3 linked regions of the Arabidopsis thaliana genome follow. The protein of the gene in region 1 interacts with the protein of each later gene in a pairwise test. Each region holds a gene or a part of one and is shown in the gene's direction. Other genes may lie near its edges.

Region 1 (3,937 bases):
AAACTTCAACGTACGTAAGTTTGTGTTTGTATTTTGAAAATCGATGTTTGGATCTTTTGAAACGTTTTGTTCAGTAATTTGGAAGTTTAGGGTAGAAATGGTCACTTATTATATGTAGCTAAATACGATTTCAACACATACAAACTACAAAGATTTGTTTTCGTGTTCCACAGTGTAACACGTCAGGCTGACTTGGATAATTTTAACTAACTTTACCAAGGTTAATATAAAACATAATCACTAATTGCAACATAAATAGACCATTTTAATTTCAGGTTGCAATTAGAGATTATGGTATACACAGCCACACAAAATCAAGAAAAATATGGCAACAGAAAATCGTCTCGTTTCAACCCTTTAAGTAGTTTCATCCATCCATATGGTGCCATTTTAAGTACACATGCAAGTCACCATTTTTCCTCATATTTTTTTGGCAAGTCTCATTGCTCGCCTCTCGTTGTAGCTTACAAAAATGACCATTCAATATGGTTATAAACCATCTTCATGCGACTGGCAAAAAAAAAAAAAAAAAAAAACCATCTTCATGCATGTCAGTTTTTTGTTGCTAGAAAGTTCGCCGTACATATTTGTCTCTCATGTAAAGGTGAAAATGGCTGTAACATGGATTAAACTATTAAAGATTCATTTTATGAAATATAATTTCCATTCATTTTGCTAGGAAATAATGAGGAAAGAACAAATTAAAAGAAATTTGTGTTCATCACAAAACGATAGCAATGTTTACGGAATGGAACCTAAAAGTAAACTACAGTTAGAAAGTGAAAGAAAATAAGATAATCAAAATGATATACAGTAACTTGGTCTTAGGAGTCTAAAGAGTAAAATCTATCTGATAATTAAGACAACATGAAAAAGATGGGCTATAGAAACGTTTTGAAATCAAGTTTAGTGGGGGCAGAGACAAAGTAGAACCAACTCATCAAGAACTCAATTTTAAACATCTAAATGGATCTCCATGCAACATTATTACACTAATAAATAATATGAAAAGTTTGGATTTGGTACCGGTCTGTTTCACTATCATTGTTACAATTATTGTATTCCTCGGCAGGAGCACCTTAGTTTATTAGAACAATTAGACCCCATTGACGAACCAATATGGTGTAGAAGTATCTGGAAAGAAAAAAGGAACGTCCCACATTTCAAACAAATCTTGCTAACCACGTATTATCTAGCTGGAGGAATGAGAATGACACATTGTCCTTGCTCTAGATGTAAATCCACATAACATAAGTAGGATCGGTTCTATTAAAACATTAATTGGAAAGCATTTCAAACTCGGGATAGTAAGTGTGGTGGAGACATGACGTATTGGTGACAAAAAAAATTATAGAGAGAAGAAACAAGCTTCAAACCCTCCCCAAGACAACAAAACCATCATTGTGGGGAGCATTAAGAGTATGCAACGCAAAGAGGCCTTTCATTCCCTTGCTCTCTCCACTTCTAAGAATTTATTGGTTTCTTGTTATACTAATAAATTAATGGAACCCTAAAAACAAGGTTATGAGATTTATCAGTAAACCTACGCTTCTGTCACTAATTCGGTCCAAGTACATTGCTAGAACTCTGTGACTTATCTTACAATGCTATTTCAGAATAATTTCAGACTAGATCTTAATTGGTTCCGTATGTATTACTGATTTCCAAATCATTAATTATTAATGGGCCTATCTAAGCCTGTTTAATAAATGGGCCTTGCGTCAAAGTCTCCATCACTGAAACCGCCCTTTTTAGGTTAATCAATACTTTATAACCGAAACTGATATTTTTTCTAGGGTTTCCTCTTCCGCATTCGTCGTCTTCAGCTCCTCCTACACAGTTTCTTCTCTGAATCGTAAGTTTTGAATTAATCTGCAAATTCGTTTAGATTCTTATCAATTAGTCACTAATTTTTCAATTGATGATTCGATCTCAGTACTTAGGAAGCTAAAATGGGTAGATGTCCGACTAGAAAAGTGAAGAAGAGGAGATTATCTCACAAAACAGCTCGCCGTGACAAATTCGAAGTCAAAGGCGATGACTTGGTTTACACAGAGTTGCGTAAACCGGAGACGGAGATTAAGCCGTTACAGCTTGACGAGGATTTGCCTGGAATGGGTCAATTCTACTGCTTACACTGCGAGTAAGAGAGATTCTATGATTACTCTATTGACGATTCTTTTGGTTTATGAAACTTTTTTTTAGCAAATACATTATCTTTGAATTACTCTATATGACCCATTTGTTTGTTTTACCTTGATATGTTTTAGTCGATACTTCTCCAACGTATCAGTGAGGGATGATCATTTCAAGACTAAGAAACACAAGAAGCGGTATGTGGATTCTTCTCCTTCCTTGGCCTTGGTTTCTATTTTGTTTTGTGTTCTTGGAACTGTGTTTGGTTCTTGTGCTCGTTTACTTTCTTGCTTGCAATGTTAAAGCTATTTCTCTTCACTTCTGTGTACCTAAAGATGTTTTAGCATTTGTAATTTGATTACCTTTGTATGATTATACATGTCTGTTGCAGTGTTGCTCTGTACTCAAGACTTATTATATGTGTTTTGTCCACTTGGATTGCAGTGTGAATATGATGATGGGACAAGCGCCACACTCGCAACTCGATGCAGATTTAGCCGGGGGAATGGGGATGCCGGACAATGGCCCAAAGCTGATGTCTAATTTGGTATTCACAGAGTTGCGTAAACCAGAGACGGAGGATTTACCTGGAATGGGTCAATTCAACTGCTTACTCTGCCAGTAAGATTATATGTGCAAAAAGACAATCTTTGAATTACTCTAGATTTCCATGTTTGTGTGAACATTTGTTTGTATTTGATTGACCTTGTCTCTCTACCTTGATATTTTTCAGTCGGAACTTCTCCAATGCATCAGTGATGGATTATCATTTCAAGACTAAGAAACACAAAAAGCGGTATGTGGATTCTTCTTCCTTGGTCTTGGTTTCTATCTTGTTTTGATCTTGGAACTGTGTTTGGTTCTTGTGCTCGTCTACTTTGAATTCATCTTGCTGGCAATGTTAAAGCTATTTCTCGTCACTGGCGTAGCTAAAAATGTTTTAGCACTTGTAACTTGATTACCTCTGTATGATTATATTATTGATCTATGCATGTCTGTTGCTCTGTACTCAGACTTAATATCTTTCTATTGTCCATTTGGATTTTTGTGTGATTGCAGTGTGAAGAAGATAGAGCGACCAGCGCCACACTCGCAACTCGATGCAGATTTAGCTGGTGGAATGGGAATGCCAGACAATGGTCCAAAGCTGATGTCTGCCTGAGTTTTTACAGTTATTTTCCTTATTTAGTTAATGGAACCCGAAATTTTGTTGTAAAACTATAATCTCCTAAATTAATGATACAGGTTTTTTGTCTGTTGCCAAGTATCTATCATGCAGTTACTGGTTTAGCTTCACTTAGAAGTTTAAATCTGATAAATCATATATTGTTTGTGTTGGTTGCATAAAAAACTTAACCATATAAGCCATACCAATCGTTGTTTTGACAAAATAGAAAGAACAAAACACTAGCTCTCTCAGCTGCTGATATGCGTTTGTAATTGAGATCACATTATGCAGACCTTGTTCTCTTCCGGGGAACTATTGCCTTTCCACGAGCAATCACGCCAAAGTGAAGCCTAGAAGCAGAAGAATCCCATAAGAGTCCTATATCGTCTCTTTCTTTCAAACTTCTCCTTTTGGATAAAATCTTCCAGCCAGTCACCCGTTAGAACATAGGTATATTGTACTGCCAGACGCAGCTCATGCATTGTGCTCGTGTCGTTGTCCTATACCTTAACAATGAGTCCGCTTTTGCAAATCAGCTTCAGGCAGATGTCCTCGAATCTGCTGTTCGAAGAAGCTTCTGGGCAGACGAAGTTGGCCATAAGTAGGGTTAACATTATGCTCGGTCAGTCTCTT
Region 2 (4,555 bases), on another chromosome or scaffold:
AAAAAGTTTCACCATTATATATGTACATCAACTTTCACTGTCGTCGGTCGAAAACAAATCATGGTCTAACAATATATTCCTAATTATCTATCATCGTACACTACACACTAATTAGGTACAATACTTCTTCATTAGTTTAATCTTTCACCGAATATCAGAAGAAATCCCAACTAATATGCGTGTGGATCTTGTAAACAATGAAAAGAATGTTCCCACCAAAAAAACAATGTGAACAGAACTAAATGTTGAAACTTCTACTTCAAAATTGAAATAAAATCTAAAATAAAATATATAATGAACATCAATCATTGTATAAAAGCGATTAAAAGTTTCATGATTTGGGATAAAAAAAGTTAGAGATAGATAACTATCCCTTTTTTAGTGAACAAGTATAAAGTTTTTACTGAAAAGTTTTTCAGTGTCCGGTATTAATTTCATATTAGTCATATTATTTACATGCAATATGAAATGAGATGTCAAAAAAGTTTAGACAAAGGAAAAGAGCAGAACATTAATTACAGCAGCGTAGGGTCACATGCGTAAGTCACGTGACTCTGTTTTTCGTTGGGGAACATAGAATCATAAATGATTTTTTCGATGGTTCACGACACTATTCTTAGACCAATAAGGGCAATAAGAGTTAAACCAGGGGCTAATAGGTCCTACTGGCGACACATAGACGAATTTACCGGTTTCGATTACAAACCCGTGACCGGTAATTCCGGTCAGCCATTGTTTTCTAAGTTTGTTTTCTTTCGTTATAATGCGCATGGAATGAAACAGTCGTATAATTCATTTAACTCGACTCGTAACAAAATATGTGAGATAATAATAAGAAGTACATAAATTTGGTAGCTAGTATTTAATGTTAATTGATACTTTTTGTCTCAAATAATCGAAACTGCTTTTAGGCTCTAGAAAACTGATATTGATGTCTTGGACATTTACTTGGGTATAATAAATTGCGATAACATAATAGAGCGGTCCGAGACTTAGAGAATTACGAAACCAGTAAATTCTATACAGATTGTTTATCCAATTAAGCCCAAACCAATCCAGGTTTCCTACAGTGGGTCAAGAATACATCATGGCAGATTTGATACATCATAATGCCATTATGGTATCAAGCCCAAAATAAGCCCAGTTATTTTTTCTTTCTTTTGTTGTCATTCCATAAAAATCTACATAACGGAATCCAGAATTTGATTAAGATCTTATTCCGTTATGTTCCAGATAATTAGAGTGTCATATCTCTATAATGAACTTCATATTAAATTTCTTTGTCTTAACATGCATTAGAAAAAAGGGTTTAAAACTCTATTAAGAACTAAATATATCAATAACATTTACAGTATAATTTTAAAATTTAGAATGACAAAAGAAACATTATAGAATTTTAAGAAATGATTTGGGAATAGACAAATCAATAAACCTCAGACTATTATGAGATTTGTTTTTGTCTGGAAGGAAATTGCTTAATCAGGTAATAAACTCAACAAAGCACCTTCTAAACAAGGAGTCATCCACGACCGTCCGATCAGATTAGTACATAGAAACCCTTAAGATCCAACGGTTAAAGATTTAAGACAGAAGGACGAAATCTGTAATCATGAGTTTAGTAAAAAACTAATAAATCAATCAGTCTTCTCCCTATTTACTGCAACTCTGCGAAAGCTGCAAAAATAAAATCAGCCGATTCCTATTTTTTTATTTGTCTTCCTGTGAAGAATGAAAAAGAAGAAGAGTACAACAAGTACTAAGAAGACGAAGAAGGTTTCAACAATAGCTTATTCGCAGCTTTTCCAATTCTGGTAAAAAGGCTTCATTACCATTTTATCGTCTACTCTTCTTCTTCTTCCTGTTTTCGATCTTCTGTCTTTTTCGGTAATTTCCGAATTTGTGTTTCAAGACCGTATCATCTTATGCTACGATTGAATTTGTTGGAATTCCAGTTTTGGGTTCTTCACCAAGCTCAGAATTTCAAACTGTCAGAATTGTTTGAAAGAGTCAAACTTGAACTGGGATTTTTTTTGACTTAGGGTTCGTCAGATGTTGGATTTGTTAATCCTTGCAGAGTCGTTTAAGGGGTTTACAAAATGCTTTATTTATAATCCTAAAAGCTATCTACTTTCTGATTTTTTTCCCCCAGTTCTTGGTTTGAATTCTAAAGCTGTTTCCTGTGCTATAACAGGTGAGTGTTTCGCACTACATTGCTCTTGCTCTACTGGAGATTGCGGTTGTGTGTTACGAGAGCTAGAGTTGAATTTGCTTTGGTCAACACAATGGGGACTTGTGGTTGCTGACTTTTGTGATTTTCAGTTTTCTACTTGGATTTAGATGGATGTTTCTTCCATTGTGCGAAATACAACCCTAACTGATCAAGATCCTTTGTTAATGGACCACGGTAACCGCGAGCACATCGTTGACATTACAAGCAATGACGAGGAGGACTCTTCATCAAGATCTTCTCTCGATGAGCTTACTCCTCAAGGTAACTCACATCAAGGTGAAGAGACAGTATTATCATCATCAAATGCTACACAACAACACCCAACTCATCCATCTCCTCCTCAGCAAAGACCAACTTCTTCTAGGAGAGGAGATAACGGGAATGGTCGCCGTACTAGGAGTCCATTGAATTCTGGCCTCTGGATCTCAGTTGAGTTAGTTGTCACTGTCGCTCAGATTGTTGCAGCCATTGTAGTTATGGTTCTGGCTAAAGATGAACATCCTGAAGCGCCATTATTTACTTGGGTTATTGGATATACTTGTGGCTGTCTAGCCACTCTCCCTATTCTCTATTGGCGTTTTCGCACTTATAATCGAGCTACAGGGCAAGACTCTTCACAACGTGCTACCTCTTCTCAAGGCAATAGTGAGTCCACACCATATACAGCAGTCTCAGTTGCTCAAGCAGCAGATGAAGAAAATAGCACTGGCGTGAGTGCAGCACCTAGAAACAATCAAGTTGGGGAAAGCTTAAGAACAAGGTAAGTCTAATTACTTTGTTTGGCCTCAATTAATTTGGGTTGGTTAGTTAACAATTGTTAATGACTGGCAGGCTCAACGGGCTAGTGGACCACTTCAAGATGGCGATTGATTGTTTCTTTGCGGTGTGGTTTGTTGTGGGGAATGTATGGATATTTGGAGGTCACTCATCTCCTTCTGATTCTCCTAAACTGTACAGGTACACGCCTTCGACTTCATCCGCTATTATGTCCCAATGAGGAACTGAAATTCTAACACTCATGTTTTTCTTGCAGGTTATGCATAGCGTTCCTTACTTTCAGTTGCATTGGATATGCAATGCCATTCATACTATGTGCAACCATATGTTGTTGTTTGCCTTGCTTAATCTCGGTTCTCGGATTTCGAGAGAACTTCTCACAAACTAGAGGAGCCACTGCCGAGGCCATCAACGCATTGCCTGTCTACAGGTTCAAATCAAAAAGTAGAAATGATTTGGAGTTTTCAGAAGAAGGTGAAGGTGGATTTCTTCTCTTGGGGTCTCAGAAGAAACGTCTTATATCAGGCGAGGATGCCGTAAGTCAATACCCTTAGTTCCGCCATGAATTCATTTGAATTAGTTGGTTAATACAATTGTGTACAGAAGTTCAGTGCAACTGTTAACTATTGTCTGCATTTCTTGGATAAATATTGGTTTTGCAGAGCTGTTGCATCTGCTTGACTAGATATGGAGACGACGAACAAGTTAGAGAGCTGCCATGCTCACATGTCTTCCATGTAGACTGTGTAGACAAATGGCTTAAAATCAATGCGACTTGCCCTCTCTGCAAAAATGAGGTTGGAGAAAGCAGCAGTGCTTCCTCATAGACAAAAGCTGAGTTGATCGCAACTGTTTGGAATTTGGGATCCATAGTCTGTGACGTGTATAGACTTAAGACTTGTATAGTTGAGATGTTGTTTATTCATTTTGTCTTTCCAAATCAATAAATTTCGAAATAAAGTTGTTATGTATATGAGAGAACTATATAAGAAAAAGATGTAACGTCTCACTCAAAGGTAGGCTCGTCAAATCAAAATTTTCCAGAGATGTCAAGAAGCTTAAACATTGTAATGGAGAAAATAAATAATGTGGAGAAACCGAAAAAAGAAGGAGATAAAAGGGTACAACATCAGAGAAATCCTCTTTAAAGTGTGGAGAGAACAAAACGAAAAAAAACAAGAAAAAAAAAAAGACAAGACCCCTCTCTTTTTTTGTGGCATTGTTCTTCAAACTTGAAACCCAGCCTTATATAGAAAAACAATTATACACATTTGGCATGTTACAACTCCAAAACATTTTCTGATCCACACACCTCGGGGAAAGATTCATTAAATCTCAAGTTTGATCCGGGTCTGTAGGAACAGATCTTCCATCTTCTGTAAATTATCTCCTGGGTTGATTTGCTTCTTATTGATAGCTAAGAGGGTTTTCAGGTTGCAACTGAGAGGCTCTTGAATGCTTCGAGTTGTCCGTCGCTCAATTCAGTCTGACCCATTGGATGGTTTGGCGTGTCACCGTTCTCATTGCTCTTGCGGGATGAGTTGTACA
Region 3 (4,897 bases), on another chromosome or scaffold:
GCAACATTACAGATGAAATACCAAGAACCAAACAATATTGACTCCTCCTTTTTTTACTCTTTTAGCCAAAGAAACATAATTAAGGGGAAAAAACACAGAACAAAGCTCTTACTTCATCTCTGGGTTCGCAGGGTCCAATACATAGCTTGCATCCATACTCCTGCTCGAGAGCCTGGCCTAGAATGTGGGCGCTAGAATGCCAGAAAGTATTACGGCCTTGGTCGCTGTCAAATCCGAAAATCTCTAAGGAACAATCACCTTCCAGGGGCCTATTCATGTCCCACAAGACATGATTAACCGAAGAAACCAGAGCAGATTTTGCTAAACCCTTAGAAATCTGCACTGCGATGTCCATTGGAGAGGTCTCCCATCTCCTTCCTTCTTTCTCGATACCGTCGGGGAGAAGAGTAATCCTAAGCAGTGAAACAAAAACCAGAAATCAACTAATTGCAAAACCCTAGCTTAGCAAACAAATTGATGCACCCTAGTGAAAATGATGAACAATTAATCATAAACGTATTTACTTGATTGGATCGTGTGGCCGAGATTGAAGCTGCTCAAGCTGCTCGGCTTGGATTTCCTCGAAGAGCCTGATACGCTTGGGGATGACGGATGAGAGATAAGCCTCATCCTTGGGATGATGATTATTCGCCATCGATGGATGAGCAGAGAACGAAGGACAAATAGAAACTATAGAATATAGAAGATGACGTTGAGAGCAGAGGAGTAGATTATCCCAAGGTCAACTTCCCTTTTATAGCTACAACACTAAAGTGACTTGCGGGCCAAGCTTTAGAGCTTTTCCTTTCATTTTTTGTAATAAGGTAATAACAACAAGTGGCAGATGCACCTAACTTTACATAATTTCCTTTTGTATTTAAATAATTTTCTACAATATTTATAATTTCTTTTCAATTGAATTGTAGTTTTGTTGATAAAATGCAAATTAAAAGTATATGTATATAACCTATTTTGGCGTGACTTTCTTTGATTTAATGTTTCACATTTATATTTGTTGCATTCTCAATAATATCCAAATGACCATTATTAGGCCTATTAATGTGGAAGCTATAAAATCAGTTTGAAGTGGGCTTATTATTTGTAGTTTTGGGCTCTTAAAAGCCTATTAATGATGAAGCTAGAATCAGTTTTGCAACGTTCTCGGATGGTTTCGTGTTACAAAAATGTAGTCGGGTTCGATTTGGTTGAACCGGGTCTGGTAGACAATAATGTAATATTGGAAAGGAAAACGGTTCAGGCTTCGTGGCGATGAGCATCAACCATCAAGGCTTTGCTGGATGTCTTCAAAGCTCAAGAGTGCCAACTTTATGTATACGAGGATTGTTCAAATATTAAAACCAACCAAAGAAGTGGTCTTTTGATGTTTAAGCTTATCGTAGGATGTTTCAGCTGGACTTTGTGTCTCTTCTTTATCTCTACCAAAATAATATCTAATCACTCTCTCTCTTTTTATTTATTTAACAAGATTGTTTCGACTTAAAAGAGTCATGTAGTGACTGACACCTTTCCTATTTTTACAAGCAAGCATCATTTTAAAAATTTTAAAATTTACTTTTCTGGAATAGAAAAACCAAAAATAAGCAAAATCATTAAACTAAATTGCCCAAAAAAAGTTAAAAACCCAGAGAAATACTCAAATTAACCTAAACAATATCTCTTATAAAATCATTATTTCTAATTTGGTAGTATTCACAAAAGATATGCATGAGCTGATTTTGTTTGGAATCTCATACTAATGGTTGCATGTAAAAACAAAAACTAAAAAATCTTTAATAGTATTATATAGGAAAAGCTATAATCATTATACAAAAACTGTATCATCATCATCATCAAGCTTGAAATCACTCTCTTTCATCCTTCCCCGCGCACTGTGTCTCGCTCTCTCTCTCCCACATTTCCATTATCTCCTTTACTTTCTTTCTTTGAGAATGTCTTCTACAACAATCGGCGAGCACATCAGACTCCGACGAGCTAGAAACCAAACAATCCGTCATCTCCACGCCGCCGACGATGATCCGCCGCTAAGCCACGTCGTTCTTCCGATTTCACAACCTAATCGCTTCTGTAACTCCGCAATGTCTTCCTTCTTTCCCCTCCCGACTTCCTCCTCCAACGAAAGCACGAGGAAGAAACCGTACCAAACGTCGTCGTTTCGAGGGATGGGTTGCTATGCCGCAGCAGCAGCAGCAGCTCAAGAGGTTTCTGTTCCCTCCGTCATTCGCTACTCCGCGGATTTGGATGCCAGAATTAGAAAAGATAAGAAGAAGAAGAAGCATAAGCATAAGAAAAAGAAAAAGAAGAATAAAGGAAGCTACGAAGATGGTTCGATTAGGATTTTAAGCGAAGAAGCTAGAGACGTTATTGATGTTTGGTGCAGACCTGGATTAGGCTTCTCCACGGATGCTGTAATTGGTCGATCGGTTGATCCTCCTCGGGGAAGGAATATTCCGTCGTCTCGTCGCAAAATTGATGTGGATAACAACAATTATAATCACACACTGGTAAATTGATCTAAAGTTGGATGATGAATTTAGTGTTATTATGTTATTGACTTTGACTTTGAGGAAATGGTATCGTTTAGGCAGAAACTGTGTGGAGTGGTTGGAGCTCTAGTGGTTGTAGTTAGCTCTATGCCAATTGCTGGGCCATTGTTAGTTTGGTTTGGTTTATTAATATATGTGTTTGGATTCTCGTTTAGACAAATCATAAGGGTCTACTTTAGATGTAGCGGTTCTCTATTATTAGTTTTTGTTTCATGTGAGGATAATATAGAAAATTTCTTTGTTTGACGTGCGGGTGGTTCTTTTGGGTTTGATGCTCAATAAACTAATCGAACTCTGGTTTGGTTAGAGAATGGAATCTTATCATGCTTTTGTCTCGTTTAGCTAGAGGATGGAATCTTAGCATTGTTTAAGTTTCTTTTTGGTTGGATTCAATTGGTTAGGGGAGTTGTTGGATTTATTTTGATCAAAGAAACGCATTGCTTCAGAGGACTTGAAAATTAGGAATCTATCATCATGTCTAAGTGTTTGAGAAATGATAACACAATGCTACAAATGTTCTGCAGGGTTCTTCTGTTCTTCCCATTCGGTTTCTCAATCAAGAAACTCATTCTCATGATATCTTCAACTCTGATTCTACTTTTGTGACATCATCACGCGCTGAACCAACGATGTTGTCAAGTAGATGTCGTGGCCATCTTCCACGCTCTTACCCTGATGATCTTACCGAGGTAGAATGTTCTTGCCAAATAGTTGCCTTGTCTTTCTTGCATCTGGTAAATGTTATAGATTTGACTTCTTAGTTTATTAACTGATCACACTCAACACTATGTTAAGGTTTGACTTGTCACTTGGCTTCATATCAACTAAGAGATTATTCTAGAGTTGTCTCTTACATATTCTAGTGACTGATAGAGTGGAAGACAAATAATGTAATCGTTCTCTTTGGTGCTGTATGGTGCTGTAAAACTGTTTTGGATGGCTAATAGCAAGTGAGCAAGTTAAAGAACTAAACCATGCAGCTAGTGTAGTCATGTTCCTGCTGTTCACTGCAGATGAGGATGCTCCAGAATGGTTTTGTAATGGGAAGAATAACAGATTCCCGTGATAACTACCACGAATTGAGGCTCGATGTTGATAGCATGTCATACGAGGTATGTTTTTCAAAATCTCATGAGAAAAACACTTGCAATCTCATCTTCTCAACTTTATCGAGTGTGTTTGCTTTGGTCTACGCAGCAACTTCTTGAGCTTGGTGATAGAATTGGTTATGTGAATACTGGACTAAAAGAAAGCGAGATACATCGTTGTCTTGGGAAAATCAAACCATCCGTATCACATACTCTTGTTGATAGAAAATGTAGCATCTGTCAGGTAAACTCCAGATTGAGTCAATGGCTTCTCGAAACTTCAGACAGATCATGAGTTTCATAATGCTATTCCTTATTGTTTGATGGTGACAGGATGAGTATGAGAGAGAGGATGAGGTTGGGGAATTGAACTGTGGACACAGCTTTCATGTCCATTGCGTGAAACAATGGCTTTCGAGGAAGAATGCTTGTCCGGTCTGTAAGAAGGCAGCATATGGCAAGCCTTAAAAGACTTTTGTATCTCGTCGGGTTTCTGATAGCTCAAGATCTTTCAAGCCACCTTGCTGTATAGAGATCTGTATCATCTGATACTTGATTCATATTTGTTGTTTTTGCATTTAGCAATCACAATTTTTTTTTTTTAAGATCTTATATTCTTTGTTGGGTCTATTTATGTGATTGAAATCAAGAGTTTGAAATCTATGTTTTCTGTTGCCTAGGTAGATTTAAGACAGGTAGAGAGTAATTTAGCATATAGCATACACGCACGTAACTAAGAATCAATGTTTTAACGTTTGAGTCTGCATTTATATATATATGTGAAGTAAACTCAACCCAGACTTTTATTTATGACAGAAAAAGTGTTTGGGATCCATAGACAAGAACACATTACATTAATCTTATCCAAACGAGTTTTACATGAGATCATGCAACATCTAAGAAAAGCATATAAATATAAGACATAAAGTAACAAGAACCCCTCAACTTAACATCTCGAATTTCCGTAAGTGCTCTGAGATTCTTGGCAATGTAGGGAAAAGCCATTATTACTTGCCATTGGTTTTGCCTAGAGACGTGAAGCTCAATCTGCGAATAATCAGACAAACAAAAACAAACAATCTTTGTCAAAATCCAAAAATGTATATTCAAACGTTAAGAGTAAACATAGACACAAAATCACTTACTTGATTATCGGTTTTCGCTGTTGTACTGAAGGTCTATGTGCCGCATCGGGCTGTCGCGTGGGAAGAACCTTTCAACAAAAGAGAAATCAGACAGGAGGAA

What was found. Proteins that work in one complex are often made in the same cells at the same time.
Region 2: the proteins of AT2G36930 (region 1) and AT1G80400 interact in a two-hybrid assay, tested with the Arabidopsis thaliana proteins (one large-scale study listed by BioGRID).
Region 3: the proteins of AT2G36930 (region 1) and AT1G17970 interact in a two-hybrid assay, tested with the Arabidopsis thaliana proteins (one large-scale study listed by BioGRID).

What each region holds. Positions count from the first base shown.
Region 1 is NC_003071.7:15,509,363-15,513,299, reverse strand, and holds AT2G36930 (zinc finger (C2H2 type) family protein), read left to right. Parts: upstream 1-1,692; 5' UTR 1,693-1,855; intron 1,856-1,936; 5' UTR 1,937-1,952; coding exon 1,953-2,143; intron 2,144-2,270; coding exon 2,271-2,333; intron 2,334-2,580; coding exon 2,581-2,757; intron 2,758-2,869; coding exon 2,870-2,932; intron 2,933-3,195; coding exon 3,196-3,298; 3' UTR 3,299-3,402; downstream 3,403-3,937. Other genes in the region: AT2G36920 (B3 domain protein), read right to left, coding at 3,812-3,937.
Region 2 is NC_003070.9:30,223,527-30,228,081, forward strand, and holds AT1G80400 (RING/U-box superfamily protein), read left to right. Parts: upstream 1-1,649; 5' UTR 1,650-1,811; intron 1,812-2,191; 5' UTR 2,192-2,337; coding exon 2,338-2,990; intron 2,991-3,061; coding exon 3,062-3,187; intron 3,188-3,263; coding exon 3,264-3,543; intron 3,544-3,669; coding exon 3,670-3,834; 3' UTR 3,835-4,049; downstream 4,050-4,555. Other genes in the region: EMB2753 (tetratricopeptide repeat (TPR)-containing protein), read right to left, coding at 4,253-4,306, 4,449-4,555.
Region 3 is NC_003070.9:6,183,083-6,187,979, forward strand, and holds AT1G17970 (RING/U-box superfamily protein), read left to right. Parts: upstream 1-1,634; 5' UTR 1,635-1,949; coding exon 1,950-2,522; intron 2,523-3,088; coding exon 3,089-3,253; coding exon of another isoform or gene 3,254-3,325; exon of another isoform or gene 3,326-3,577; coding exon 3,578-3,676; intron 3,677-3,761; coding exon 3,762-3,896; intron 3,897-3,985; coding exon 3,986-4,120; 3' UTR 4,121-4,391; downstream 4,392-4,897. Other genes in the region: AT1G17960 (Threonyl-tRNA synthetase), read right to left, coding at 113-413, 525-655; PAPS1 (poly(A) polymerase 1), read right to left, coding at 4,660-4,699, 4,798-4,865.